2 linked regions of the Anolis sagrei genome follow. The protein of the gene in region 1 interacts with the protein of each later gene in a pairwise test. Links are inferred from orthologs where the notes say so. Each region holds a gene or a part of one and is shown on either strand. Other genes may lie near its edges.

Region 1 (7,004 bases):
GCTAGTAGAAGGACTTAAATAGTCTAAAAACAATGTATTGTCAAAGGCTTTAATGGCTGGAATCACTGGGTTGTTGTAGATTTTTCGGGCTATATGGCCATGTTCTAGAAGCATTCTCTCCTGACGTTTCACCTGCATCTATGTCAAGCATCCTCAGAGGTTGTGAGGGCATAAATGCAGGCGAAACGTCAGGAGAGAATGCTTCAAGAACATGGCCATATAGCCCGAAAACCCTACAGCAACCCAGTCTAAAAACACCAGATCACATCTAATATTGAAAACTATCTTTGATTTAGGCAAAAATGATCTGACCTTGGAAGCTAATTAGCATCAAACTTTGTTAGTATTTGGATGGAAGGAGCCTTGGGTTAAACCTTATGCCAGCAGGACTGAAGATTGACAGTTCAGAGGTTTGAATCCAGGGACAGCATGGATGAGCTCCCTCTGTCAGCTCCAGCTCCCCATGTGGGGACATGAGAGAAGCCTACCACAAGGATGGTAAAACATCAAAACATCCTGTCATTCACTGGGCAACATCCTTGCAGATAGCCAATTCTCTCACACCAGAAGCAACTTGCAGTTTATTAAGTCACTCCTGACACACACACACACACACAATATTGGATGGAAACGAAAACCCATGCTGTAAGCAGTATTTCAGAGGCAGCGACTGGCCAAACTACCTCTGAGTATTCCTTGCGTAAGAAAACCCTATGATATTCATGTGGTTGCCATAAATCAACAGGCATGTGTGCAGACTCACACAGAATTTAATTTTATGCCTTGAAATTTTGTATTGTTTATTGCTTGTATTGCTTTATTTTAAAATTGTGTTTAGTGGGTAGTTTAAAATGTGATAAACAGTCACATGTATACTGCCCTGTAATCCATTTTTGGATGATTTTTTAGAAGTTTTCAAAATGACATTTCACTTACATTTAAATAAGGCTTTACTGTTAAATCCGTGGTTCAAAGAAAGACAGGTGCCTTTTCCAATACATTTCTTAATCTCTTCAATGCATAAAACTCACTCCCTGACAGTTTTCCTCTGGGAACCAGCACTAGGTTGATAACCAGAAACATACATATTCATGCCGATTTCATTTTAGAAGTCAGAGAATCTTTCCAATTTAGTTTCGGCTGTATTCTGCAAGCCATTTGCAGTATAATATTCAGAATCAGGTTTACCTGAGGTCAGTGGGATTTTCTATTTTTGCCAGTGAAACTGACCTTTTCATTTGAATTCACTAACTTGAAAAGAACAAAATTGGTTTTTTTTAACTTTTGATTTAAAAAAATCAAAGTTATGAAAACATTTTAATTACTATGTTCACCTGCAATCAATTATGTTAATGAGAGTGTGATGGCATAAATCAACATGAACGAAGTGTGGTCATTGCACTGAAGGTATCCAAAGCCACTCCTGAATCGTCTTTTCTCTAGGAAAAAGAAAAAATATCTTCTTATAGCCCTTCCAGACAGGTCCTGTATGCCAGGATCTAATCCCAGGTTTTTTGGTTTAACTGGATTATATGAGTCTCCACTGCCAGATAATCTGCCCTTCCACACATCCCTATATCCCAGAATATCAAGGCAGAGAATCCCTCATTATCTGAGTGTGGACTCAGATAACCCAGTTCAAAGCGGATATTGTGGGATTTTTTGCCTTGATATTTTTGGATATAGGGCTGCGTTGAAGGATCCTAAGATAAATAGAAAACCTGGGATCATATCCTGGGCTATAGGGCCTGTTTGGAAGGGCCCTTTGTGCAGGTTCCAGGAGTGATGATTGGAGACCTCATCACATGGAGTGTTTTCCCCATTGTAGGACATTTCATTTCTATTTCAAAGACAAAGAGGCACAACGACGTTTGCCTACTTCTGGCCATCATCCATTGCCCTTCATCCTTGAAATGGAACTGAAGTGTGCTGAAAGGAGGGAGTTCAGCACATGCGTAATCACGTTCTGAGCCCCGGTGCGTGCCAGAAACATCGCTAATGCCAAAAAACACATGTAATGGGATCTGAAAGATTCACTCATGTTGAATCGTTTCAGTGACACAGAGCAAAGGGTGTTCCTCACAAATTTGCTGCCTCTGTATTTTCTCCTTAATAGTAGTCTAGGCTCCATAGGAAGTGTTGGATTTCTCTGTTACACTCCATTTTATGAATTGCCCCTGCATGTTCCTTCTGTTTAAAGTAGTTTAAAAGAAGCGTTTAAAAATATTCTGGTCTCCTTTAGAGGGAAACCACCAAATTGAAAGGAATGTTAAAAGTATAGAGATGATTTCATTGAAAGAAGTGTTAAAGTGGAGTTAAAATTCTGCTGGTCTACTCAAGGGGAGGAATTTAAAAAGAAGAGGGGAAGATTTAAGTCTAAGAAGTTAGAAGACAGCTGAGCCTTGAGTCAGCTTGAGTATAGAAGTCTGTTTTTCAATCAGATGTCAGTGTCATCCTTGTGGGAGGAGCCCCCGGTGGCGCAGTGGGTTAAAGCCCTGTGCCAGCAGGACTGAAGACCAACAGGTTGCAGGTTCGAATTCGGGGAGAGGCAGATGAGCTCCCTCTGTCGGCTCCAGCTCTCCGAACGGGGACATAAGAGAAGCCTCCCACAAGGATGATAAAAACATCAAATCATCCAGGCGTCCCCTGGGCAACGTCCTTGCAGACGGCCAATTCTCTCACACCAGAAGCGACTTGCAGTTTCTCAAGTCACTCCTGACACGACCAAAAAAAATCCTTGTGGGAGGCTTCTCTCATGTCCCCGCATGAGGAGCTGGAGCTGATAAAAGGAGCTCATCCGCCTCTCCCTGGATTCGAACCTGCGATCTGTCGGTCTTCAGTCCTGCCAGCACAAGGGTTTAACCCACTGTGCCACCGGGGACTCCTGTTTTTTGATGGTCTTTGGCGACCCCTCTGATGCTCCCCCCAGGGCAGGCATGTAGCCGGGGGGGGGGGGGCTCGAGGGGTTTCAGCCCCCCCCCCCCCGAAATTCTCATGGTGGTTCGCGAAAAGGCATTACTGGTGCATTATTTAAACTGTTATGTTTATTCATAACATGATCTGATCACCATACTCAATATATCCCATATGCATGGGGGTATTGGGGTAATGATACAAAAGGTTTGCTAAACTAGACCCTCTTTCACTCAGACTCAGCCCCCCCAAAACTCAGACCCCTCCCGAATCCCCCCCTGAAAAAAACTCAGCCCCCCCCCCCCCCCGAATCGAAATCCTGGCTACAGGCCTGCCCCAGGGGTCCCAACCCCCAGGTTGAGAAACACAGCTCTAATTCCTAATAGGTTATGATCCTAACAGGTCATAATCCACAATTCCCAATAGGTTGTGGTCTTAACTACAAGAATGGCTTCAAACTACATGAAAGGAGATTCCATCTGAACATCAGGAAGAACTTCCTGACTGTGAGAGCCGTTCAGCAGTGGAACTCTCTGCCCCGGAGTGTGGTGGAGGCTCCTTCTTTGGAAGCTTTTAAACAGAGGCTGGATGGCCATCTGTCAGGGTTGATTTGAATGCAATATTCCTGCTTCTTGGCAGGGGGTTGGACTGGATAGCCCATGAAGTCTCTTCCAACTCTTTGTTTCTATGATTAACAGTTCATCATACCAGTACCAGGCATGGGAAAACTTGGCTACTTCAGGTGTTTTGGACTTCAACTCCCACAAAGTCTAACTGGCTGTTAGGAATTGTGGGCTTTGAAGTCCAAAACACCTGGAGGGCCCAAGTTTGCTCATGGCCACAAAGCAAGAGCAGTTGGGAAGGGTTCCTTTCAGTTGATACAAACCCATTAATGGGGATAAGAGGTTACACCTGGCTTCTTACTCTGCCCTGCATCCCTATAGAGATAGAAGAGGGAGGAGATGGAGGGGCTGCACGTAGGCGTGCGTGATGACGTCATCCCCCAGTCAGGATAAGTGGGCTTGGTCTCCGAACCCCGGAAGTAGCGGTTTCAGTCGAATTCAGCAGCTGGAGGAGGAAGAAGGAACGTGAAGAGCCGCGGCAATAATTCCTTCTCTCTGTGTGTGCCTGCCTCCCCTTCCTCCTCCTCCTTCGGGGCATCTTGCCGGGTTTTCCCCAGCGTTCGAGGCTGGAATGGTGCTGGCGCCGGCGTCCGCTGCCGGTGCTTTAAGGAGGAGGAGCCGCCATGGAGAGGCTGCTGCTGCTGCAACCCTTGGGGTGAGTGGCTGGCAGGCAGACACGCGTCGCCGAGGGATGAACGTGAGAATGGGTGAACACGAGAAGAGGTGAAAGTGACACTGAGAGGGCCCGGCTTCTCTGGAGTCGACACTGGAGCCGACTGACTTACAGCTTGGCAGGGCTCAGTGTTCTGGGTCCCTGGGAGTTGTAGTTTCCTGCATGGTCTTCTGCTACAGCCTGCTTTGCCAAATGAATGCTGCTCGGCAGGGCTCAATGCTGTGTAATTTTAGGAGTTGTAGGCTTGCAAGGTCTACACAGCCTTCTCAACCAAAGAAGACATAGGGGCCTTGTCAAACTACAAATCCCAAGGTTGCATAGCATTCAGCCATGGCCTTAAGTTTCAAACTGCATTCATTCTGCAATGCAGGTGTATTCTCAACACTTTGGAGTAATGGGAGTTGTAGTTTTGCAAGGAGTTGTAGTATCAAACGGTATTCATTATACAATGCGGAATAGTGGGAGTTGTAGTTTTGCAAGGAGTTGTCATGCCAAACTATTCATTCTACAATGCAGATGTATTAATACTATGGAATAATGGGAGTTGTAGTTTTGCAAGGAGTTGAAGTGCGGTTGTATTCTCAACACTATGAAGTAGTGGGAGTTGTAGTTTTGTGAGGCATCTTGTCAGACTGCATTCATTCTATAATGCAGATGTATTCTCAATACTATGGAATAGTAAGAGTTGTAGTTTTGCAAGGAGTTGTCGTGCCAAACTGTATTCATTCTACAATTCAATGTATTCTCAGTACTGTGGAATAGTGGGAGTTGTAGTTTTCAAAGTTGTCATGTCAAACTGCATTCATTCTACAATGCAGATGTATTAATGCTCTGGAATAATGGAAGTTGTAGTTTTGCAAAGTTGTCATGTCAAACTGCATTCATTCTACAATGCAGATGTATTAATACTATGGGAGTTATAGTTTTGCAAGGAGTTGTCGTGTCAAATAGCATTAATTCTACAGTGTGGATGTATTCTCAACACTGTGGAACAGTGGGAGTTGTAGTTTTGCAAGGTTGTCATGTCAAACTGCATTCATTCTACAATGCAGATGTATGAATGCTCTGGAATAATGGGAGTTGTAGTTCTGCAAGGAGTTGACATGACAAATGGCATTAATTCTATAGTGCGGATGTATTCTCAATACTATGGAACAGTGGGAGTTGTAGTTTTGCAAGGAGTTGTCGTGCCAAACTGTATTCTTTCTACAATTCAAATGTATTAATACTATGGGAGTTGTAGTTTTGCAAAAAGTTGTCGTGTCAAATAGCATTAATTCTACAGTGTGGATGTATTCTCAACACTGTGGAACAGTGAGAGTTGTAGTTTTGCAAGGAGTTGTATCAAACATACATTCTACAATGTGGATGTATTCTCAATACTATGGAATAATGGGAGTTATAGTTTTGCAAGGAGTTGTCATGTAAAACCGCATTCATTCTACGATGCAGATGTATTCTCAATACTATGGAATAATAATGAGAGTTGTAGTTTTGCAAAGTCTTTAGCCTTCTCTACCAAAGAGGGATCGGGGGCCTTAGCAAACTACAACTCCTGGGATTCCATTAGAATAGAACTATGGCATCAAATTGCATTAATTCTGCAGTATAGATGCGCCCTTAGACAAGGATCTCAGCAGATCTTCCACCGAATAGTTCGGAATCCTATAGTAGGGAACCAAACTTCTGAGCATGTGCAGAGTGCGTTCACTGCACCCCAGCAGGTAGTCTGAGGCTAGAGAGGGCATAAATATATGAAATAGAATGTGAGCATGGGGAATGAAGACCTTCCATACTCACTGTCTACTTCCTTCTTCTCAAATACAGCTTTTATAGCTGTGTTTTGTTGCCTGCTCCCTGATTGTAAGGAGCCATGGCTGTTGCCGTCCAAAAATGCACTCTGTATATGGTCGGAGCTATTGCGTATTACTCTTATGCCCCATGGCAAAGGTCCTAATGTTCAGAGTAGCTTTAGAGTGTTTCTATATATACACAAAAAGAGAGTGGAGGGGATTGTTAAGTTGTTGCTGAGTGCCTTTGAGTTATGGCAACCTTAATGATGCGTCCACACAGTAAAATTGATGCAGTTTGGTGCCACTTTAATTGCCTTGGCTTATTTCTATTGAATTATGGGAGTTGTAGTTTTACAAGGTCTTTAACCTTCTCTGCCATAGAGGGCTAGTGCCTCACCTAACTACTACTCCCAGTTTTATATAGCATTGAGCCATAGCAGTTCAAGTGGTGTCAAACTGGATTAATTCTGCAGTCTGTATGCACTAACTCTCATTTGTAAGCACTGGGCTGTTTGAATAAAAGTTAAGGTCTGAATCTCACAAGTTGAATGAGTAACTTTGTTGCTTTCTCATCTGAATGTATTGCACTAGGCCTGGGTAACAACGGAAAAATTTGTTTCTAAAATCGATTCGTTTTTTGGGGGTTTTTGCGTTTCGTTATTTAAAATAATTACAAAATTTTCCTTTTAAAAAGTTCGATATTTACGAAATTTTGTAAATGTGAAAAAAATTACAAAACATTAACGAATCGATTTCCGAAACAATGTTGGTGTGATATTATAATTTTTTTTCACTAATTAAACAAAAAACTTGCCCCAGACATGCGAAAATAATAACGAAACAACCTCAGAACAATAACGAAACGAATACAATAACGAAATACGAAGCATTTACAAAACGTGTTTAAAAATTCGTTTTTTTTTAATTGCTCCAGAATGGTTCTTTATCGTTTTGTAATTGAAAAAATTAACTAATTATTAACGAATTACGAATTAACGAAAT
Region 2 (7,676 bases), on another chromosome or scaffold:
TCTTACTGCTGCTTTTGCCTCTGCAGTGCTGTTAAGTGAAGAACTTGCTTTTTCCTACAGGATTAATGCAGTTTGACATCACTTTAACTGTCATGGCTCAATGCTGTGGAATCTTGTGTGCGTCTGGTGAACACTATTAGGCTGAGAAGATTAAAGACTCCTAAACAGAGTGTTTTAAACAGAGGTTGGATGGTCATCTGTCATGGGTGCTTCGAATGCAATCTTCCTGCTTCTTGGTAGGGGGTTTTACTGGTTGGCCCATGAGGTCTCTTCCAATTCTATGATTCTAAACCTACGATACCCATGACTCCATAGCATGGAGACATGGCAATTACAGTGGTATCAAACTATCTTAATTCTACAGTGTAGATGCACCCTAAGACTGAAAAAGTAAACCATGCACATGAGCTGGGATGTGCAAGTTAAATCGGACTCCCCGTCCACACAGTGATCAAACTAAGTACGCAAACCAATTATTTTTTTTGCTCCTCTCAGTTGTTTGTCTTACAGTAACCAAATCTAGCAAGAATCAAATACCAAGATTTGTTTTATAGTAGCCTAATTAACAAGGACTGAGATTTGCTTCTAAACGCGTAGCACAAAATCTTATAGGGACAAGAGCAATAAAGCTACACCAGTCAAATAACAAGTAAAACCCAAAATCTACTTTTGAACAATAATTTATTTACACTGGCATGTAGAGATTAGATACAATTGCTTTTGATTTTTTAGAATTTTATTCTATATCATATCATTCTCAATTCAGGAAAAGTTAAAGATATTTTATTCATATATTAACAATTGTTGCAATGGAATTCCAAATTAATAATCACATTTAAATCTTTGTGGAATTGAGTATTTAAGATGAAAATTACTGTGAAATCTGATTTTACACTTGGCAAGGAAGCAATACAGAGTCTCCAAAATTCAACTATTCTCATGAGCTGAGAAAAGTAAAAGAAATTGTTCTCAGAAGCAAGAAACAATGTCTTTATCAATAACTTGACAAAGATACAACTCTACTACATGATGCATTCAGCTCAGAGAGTATAAAAACATTCAGATTAGAAAGGAGACAAAGACATAATAATAATGGTTATTTCAACCTTGAGAAATAGAATCCTTGTCTCATTTACAGAAGTTTTTGGGAAGAGTAAGAAAAGCCATTTGTAGAAGAAAGTTAACAGCCAGAACAAACTGAGACACAGGGGACCCAAATTCTTTGAGGAAAAAACTCTTTCCCACGTAATTGTATCAATTATCTGAGAAATCTGGCTGCTGATCTAGAAGATGTTGATGAAGTAGTCACATCTTCAGTAACTTTACTACACTACACAAATAGATGTGCTGGGTTTCAAACCTATAAAAAGGACCTAAGAACCATCAATTTGCGTAACATAGGTGCCTAATTTATTTTTAAAAATTGAACTATTTTGATTATGGAAACTCAAATACAATGAAACGTTTGCACTTTTAAAAGGCATGGGAAAATGGGCTCTCCAAAATATAACATTTTATCTTATTTACATAGTGGGTGAAAAGATTCCATATTAGCTGGTTGAGTAATCTATATCCACAATGTCTGGGACCCAAAATGTTCTGTATTTCATATTTTTCAAATTTTGAGTATTTGTATATACACAATGAGATATTTTAAGGTGGGTCCAAAGTCTAAAAATAAAATTCATTTATATGTCATATTACATCCTATAAACAAACCCTGTGGGCAACTGAATACACAGTATTTTAAAATAATTTTATGTGTGAACAATCAAAAACCAAAGGTGTCCCTGTCTCAGCCACTCATGAGGAAAATTCTGGAGTATTTTGGATAAGGGACACTCAATCTGTACCAACTCCTGAAGACTAGAGAAGGGGATTTTTTTTTTTTAAAAAAAAAAGGTCCTGTGAGGAGTTTAAGGGAGGCTCTCTCAAAGTCAATCCTAAATTCAGTCCTTTGTAGAGGCAAATAAGAAAGAATAATAATACTGTATTTCTTCAGTTCTAAGACACACTTTTTCCTTATATAAACATCTCTGAAAATGGAATGTGTCCTAGAATCACAGATGTATCTTATGCATTTTTGTTGGTTGTGGTACTGAAACTATGGTGTGTCTTACAATCAGTGGTGTCTTACAACTGAAGAAATATGGTAACAACAACAACAGTTATTATTAGAGGACAAGAAACCAGTTGCCAGCATTATCAATCTCTATGGGAAAATAATAATTATTTTCTTTGTTACTTGTCTCTCCTCAAGGTTGGAATAAGATGCAACCAACAAGAGTAGATTTCTTTTTAAAGAAATACTCAATGTCAACACTGCAGGATGCAGACCATCACTATTTCCCTTCCCCTTCTCATCCTAATAATAATAGAAAGAGAAGCCAGGTAACAGTATTATCCACTTCTATAGAAAAATAAGCTGCAACCAAGGAGAGTTGGTCTGCGTTTGTCAGAAAATAGCACCCCTCCTCATTCCTTTGTATTCCACCTCAAGTTCTGTGGAGACGCAGATATATAATAACTATTATTATTATTACGAGTACATCTACTCTTCTCAAGTTTAGAGGCAGGATACTACTACTGTTAATAACAATAGAAAGAAAGGATAGCATTATCCCCCTCTATGGAAGAAAAAGGTGCCACCAAGGAAAGGAGGCTTGTGTTTTTATAGAAAGATTTCTCAATGATAAATTCAATCCCTTGCACCTATCATCGAGCAGTAGGTAGACAACAACAATAATAATCCTATCTCTCAAGTCTAGAGGTGTAACACTACTGCTACCAATAATAACAGGAAGAGAGGGCAGGTGGCAGCATTATGCCCCTCTATAGGAAAATAAGGTGCCACCAAGGGAAGGGGGTTGTGTTTTCATAGAAAGATTCCTCAATACTAAATTCAATCCTTTGCACCCCTCAAGCCTTGAGAGGGAGGTAAACAATAATCCCATATCTCAAGGATAAGAAGGCAGGACACTACTGCTACTAATAACAGGAAGAGAGGGTGGGTGACAGCATTATCCCCCTCTATAGAAGAATAAGGTGCCACCAAGGAAAGGGGGCTGTGTTTTTACACATTTTGGAGCATTTTGGATACATTTAATCCCTTGCGCACACACACACACCCCTTGAGAGGTAGGTAAACAATAATCCCACATCTCAAGGCTAAGAAGGCGGGACACTCCTACTACTACTAATAAGAAGAGAGGGTGGGTGACAGCATTATCTCCCTCTATGGAAAATAAGGTGCCATCAAGGAAAGGGGGGTTGTGTTTTTACACATTCCTCAATGCTAAATTCAATCCCTCCTCGAGCCCTGAGAGGTAGGTAAACAATAATAATAATAATAATTCCATCTCTCAATAACAATAATAATCCCATCTCTCAAGGCTAGAGGCAGGACACTACTGCTACTAATATTAATACGAAGAGAGAGTGATAGTATTATCCTCTCTCTATAGAAGAATAAGGTGCCATCAAGGAAAGGGGGGGGGGTGTTTTTGCTAAATTCAATCCCCCTTCGAGCCCTGAGAAGTAAGTAAACAATAATAACCATCCCATCTCTCAAGGCTAGAGGCGGTACACTACTGCTGCTGCTACTACTACTACTACTACTACTAATAATAATAATAGGAAGAAAGAGTGAAAGTATTATCCCCTCTATGGAAGAATAAGGTGCCACCAAGGAAAGGGGAGGTTGTGTGTTTTTTTTGCTCAAGCCTTGAGAGGCAGATAAATCACTATTACCATTATTATTACTATTTCTATTGTTATCCCACCACTCCCCAAGGTTGGAGGGGAATATGACTACTACTACTACTAGTGTAGTACTACTCATACCAGGAAGAGAAGCCAGGGGATAGCATAACCCCTCTATAATTCCATCTCTCAAGGCTAGAGGTGGGGCACTATGGCTATTAATAACAGGAAGAGAGGCCAGGTGACAGCGTGACCCCCCTCCATGGAAGTAGAAGGTGCCACCACGAGGAGTGAAATTTTTGTTTTCAATGGCAGCGCTGTTTCTGAGGGAAAGGGCGCGTCGCTTTGGACAGGAGGGGCCTCCCGTGGGTTGTGTTGGGAAGGGAGCGGCAAAGGGCTCCACCAAAGCCAAGCCTGGGGAGAGGAAGGCCCCTGCCCAGAGCGCCATCTCCCCCGAAGCAAGGCGCAGGGCCCAGGCGGGCTGGGAGGCCAGGCCCATCCTCCTCCTCCTCCTCCTCCCTTGGCTCTTGGGCCCACCAGCAGCCCCTCCCACCGTCCGTGGGGCGGCCTCGCCTGTGGGAGGAGAAGCGGGCAGGCAGGGCCACAGCCCGGCCTGTGGAGTGGGGAACAAGCAGGCCCTGAAAGGGGGGGGACACAAGGGCCGCAGAAAGGTGGGGGGTCAAGCAGGAAGTTTCACCTCAATCCGACGAACCTCCCGCAGGCAACACGCGGCAAGAACAAGATGGCGTCGAGGCGCGCGGGGGAGGGAGGGGGAGGGAGGAAAGGAAGGGGCCCAGAGAAAGGACCACGGGACCGACGCCACGCCCACCTCCTTCCCGATTGGAAGGGAGCGCGGCTGTATTTGCATAACCCCCTCCCCGACGAGAGGACAATGAATAAAGCGTCGCGCCCCAAGGAGGCGTGGCGGGAAAGCGGTGCATGCTGGGAGTTGCAGTCTTCCTCAAGAAGTCTAAAAGGGACAGGTATGCCCTCGGATAACAGATACTATCGACTATATATCAAAACGGAGGGGGGGGGGTCTGATTGATACACCTCTTGAGTATTCCTTGCCTAGGGAAACCCTATGAAATTCTTGGGGTCGCTATAAACTAAAAGGAGCCTTAAAGGCACTTATATAAATACAAAATTCAACGTTTCAAAAGCATACCACTCTTAAGTACTCTGACCTCAATGCTATGAATTCCCGGGAGTTGTAACTGGTGTGTAACTGATGTAATTACTCTGGCTCAATGCTATGAAATCCCGGAAGTTGTAACTGGATGAGAGCCCTTATAAAACTACAACTCTCGTGTTTCCATAGTATGTCATCAAGGCAGTTAAAGTAGAGTCAAAACTGAGTTGGTTCTACAGTGTGGATGGAGCTAACATGGATTTCATAAAGAATAGAATATACAAAGAGCATTTTAAAAAACCTACCCGCTCATTCCGGTTTTTGAAATACCTTCAAGTCGAAATTCCCAACGAGGAGGAATAGTTTTTTCTCATCTAGGTTCCTTCAGGGATGTCTCTTCCTTTCCTTCCCTCTCTCCTAATTTACCCCGGACCCAAATCCATGCAGCGCCTCCCATATCCGCCTGATAACATCACTTCCTCTATTCTTTTTCCTTTTTTTAAAGGTGAAAGCGGATTGGGATACACCGGGTCCTCTTCCTGGCCGTGTGGATCCTTTTGGAGAGCTCCTTTGGCGTCATGAAGGCCCCTTGGGCTACTTTCTCCTTGTGCTGCCTTTGCCAGCTGCTGGTCGTTGCTTCTGCTGAAGAAGCCCTTGCAAAAGGTAAGATATAGTATCCCTCCCCTTTCTTTACATTCTTACCTGCTTTTTTTTTACCTTTCTATCCTTTTAATATTACATAATAATAACAACCATAATCCACATCTTGCTCATATGGATTTTGTTGGCGCATTCAAAATCCACATTTTAATGTGAAATTGTAGTTCTTATTGATTCAACTTTCCCATCTGTTTCGACAGAGTAGGCCATGAGTTGCTCTTAAGCAAGGAAGGGAATTGCAAGCCAACAAAGGGAGGGTGCATTTATCTACACTGTTGAATTAATACAGTTTGATACTGCTTTGGCTCAATGCTATATGGAATCCTGGGATTTGTAGTTTGGTGGAGGCACCAGCTCTCTTGGGTAGAGAAGGCCATGTAAAACTACAACTCTCATCCCATCGCCTTGAGCCTGGGTAGTGAAGTGGTGCTAAACTGCATTAATTCTACAGTGTAGCTCAGGCATCAGCAAACTTTGGCCCTCCAGGTGTTTTGGTCTTCAACTCCCACAATTCCTATTATTATTAGCAGGGGACTCCTAATAATAATAATAATAATAATAATAATAATAATAATACACCAGGTGACAGCCGCATTGAGGAAAAACTCAGCCGTTTTCAGGACCTCAAAATCAAACTGCAAAGGCTCTGGCATAAACCAGTACAGGTGGTCCCAGTGGTGATCGGCACACTGGGTGCCGTGCCAAAAGATCTCAGCCGGCATTTGGAAACAATAAACATTGACAAAATCATGATCTGTCAACTGCAAAAGGCCACTTTACTTGGATCTATGCGCATCATTCAAAAATACATTACGCAGTCCTAGACACTTGGGAAGTGTTCAACTTGTGATTTTGTGATATGAAATCCAGCATATAGATCTTGTTTGCTGTGACATGCTGTGTTTTTGTATCAGTAAAATAATTATTATAATAAAATTCAATCAAAGCCAGAATTGAAAAGTGGATGACAGATTCCAAGTGTAAACTCCGCAAGTAAGCAGACAGAACCATTGATCATATACTCAGCTGCTGTAAGAAGATCGTGCAGACGGACTATAAGCAGAGGCATAATATTGTTGCTCAGATGATCCATTGGAACTTGTGCCACAAATACCATCTGCCTGTGACAAAAAACTGGTGGGATCACAAGCCAGAAAAAAGTTATGCAAAACGATCACATCAAACTACTTTGGGACTTCCGAATTCAGACTGACTGAGTTTTGGAGCACAATACTCCTAACCACACAATCGTGGAAAAAAAGTAGGGATTGTCGATGTTGCTATTCGAGGTGACAGCAAAATTGATGAGAAGCAACTGGAAAAGCTTACAGGATTTAAAGATCGAACTGCAACGTATAGATGTTTGTAATTTGGTCGCAAAGGTCGTAACTTTTCCGCATAAGGAAGATGTTCCAGACCTTTATTCACTGTGATTGCCCTTTTCTACAGGCGGCGAAGAGCAGGGTTTATTGGGGGACATTAAAATATTTGGAGTAATGTTTTTCAAATACTGTGACCAAAGCTGCACACAGTATTCCAAGTGCAATCACAGCGTAGGAGAATATGATTTTAGTGGGCTTATTTCCAGTTTATGTTCCAATTTGTATTCCTTCCAGCAGCTGTAGACTGAATTGAAATATTCCTCAAACTGCTTCTAATTGGATGCTGATAGGATTGTACTATTAAAGCTTTCTGTTAACAGGTTTTTACCTGATGTTTAAAACACGGCAATAATGTGCCTGCTCTGAGATTAAGAAAAAGGCAAGAACAAATGTGTGAACCAATCTTCCCAAGGGAACCCTATGATATTGTCGTCTTAAGCTGAAATCAATTTGAAGGTGCAGAACGACAACAGCAGATGTATCTGCAGAGCAACTTGCAAAAAATGTTTTGTGGTAGAATTTCAGTAGTATATTTCTGAAGGGATGGATAACTTATGGTGCTGGTCATTGACCGTAAATAAATGTATATAACTTATGGTAACATTTCAAGCATTGCTTTCCCCAGAATAACCTAGGCAAACGCCATGTATTCATAGAGGATGTTCTGAGAAATACTATTGGTATTACCATTTGAAATGCTTTTCTTTGCTGTGATCAAATATGATAAAATATTTTATCTGCTGTGATCGCTTTACATTATTATATTCCATTTTCCTGCCAAGGTTTCGGAGATCATATTC

Evidence for each region.
Region 2: the proteins of KLHL2 (region 1) and TXNDC12 interact in binary tests that used the Homo sapiens proteins (3 or more experiments, as listed by UniProt). The two-hybrid records come from large-scale screens. The link is inferred for Anolis sagrei from reciprocal best matches to the Homo sapiens genes KLHL2 and TXNDC12.

Annotation. Positions count from the first base shown.
Region 1 is NC_090025.1:56,847,683-56,854,686, forward strand, and holds the start of KLHL2 (kelch-like protein 2), read left to right. Parts: upstream 1-3,931; 5' UTR 3,932-4,107; coding exon of another isoform or gene 4,108-4,159; coding exon 4,160-4,191; intron 4,192-7,004. UniProt on the Homo sapiens protein: Substrate-specific adapter of a BCR (BTB-CUL3-RBX1) E3 ubiquitin ligase complex that mediates the ubiquitination of target proteins, such as NPTXR, WNK1, WNK3 and WNK4, leading most often to their proteasomal degradation.
Region 2 is NC_090024.1:173,951,573-173,959,248, forward strand, and holds the start of TXNDC12 (thioredoxin domain-containing protein 12), read left to right. Parts: upstream 1-4,602; 5' UTR 4,603-4,685; intron 4,686-5,139; exon of another isoform or gene 5,140-5,276; intron 5,277-5,339; 5' UTR 5,340-5,412; coding exon 5,413-5,497; intron 5,498-7,658; coding exon 7,659-7,676. UniProt on the Homo sapiens protein: Protein-disulfide reductase of the endoplasmic reticulum that promotes disulfide bond formation in client proteins through its thiol-disulfide oxidase activity.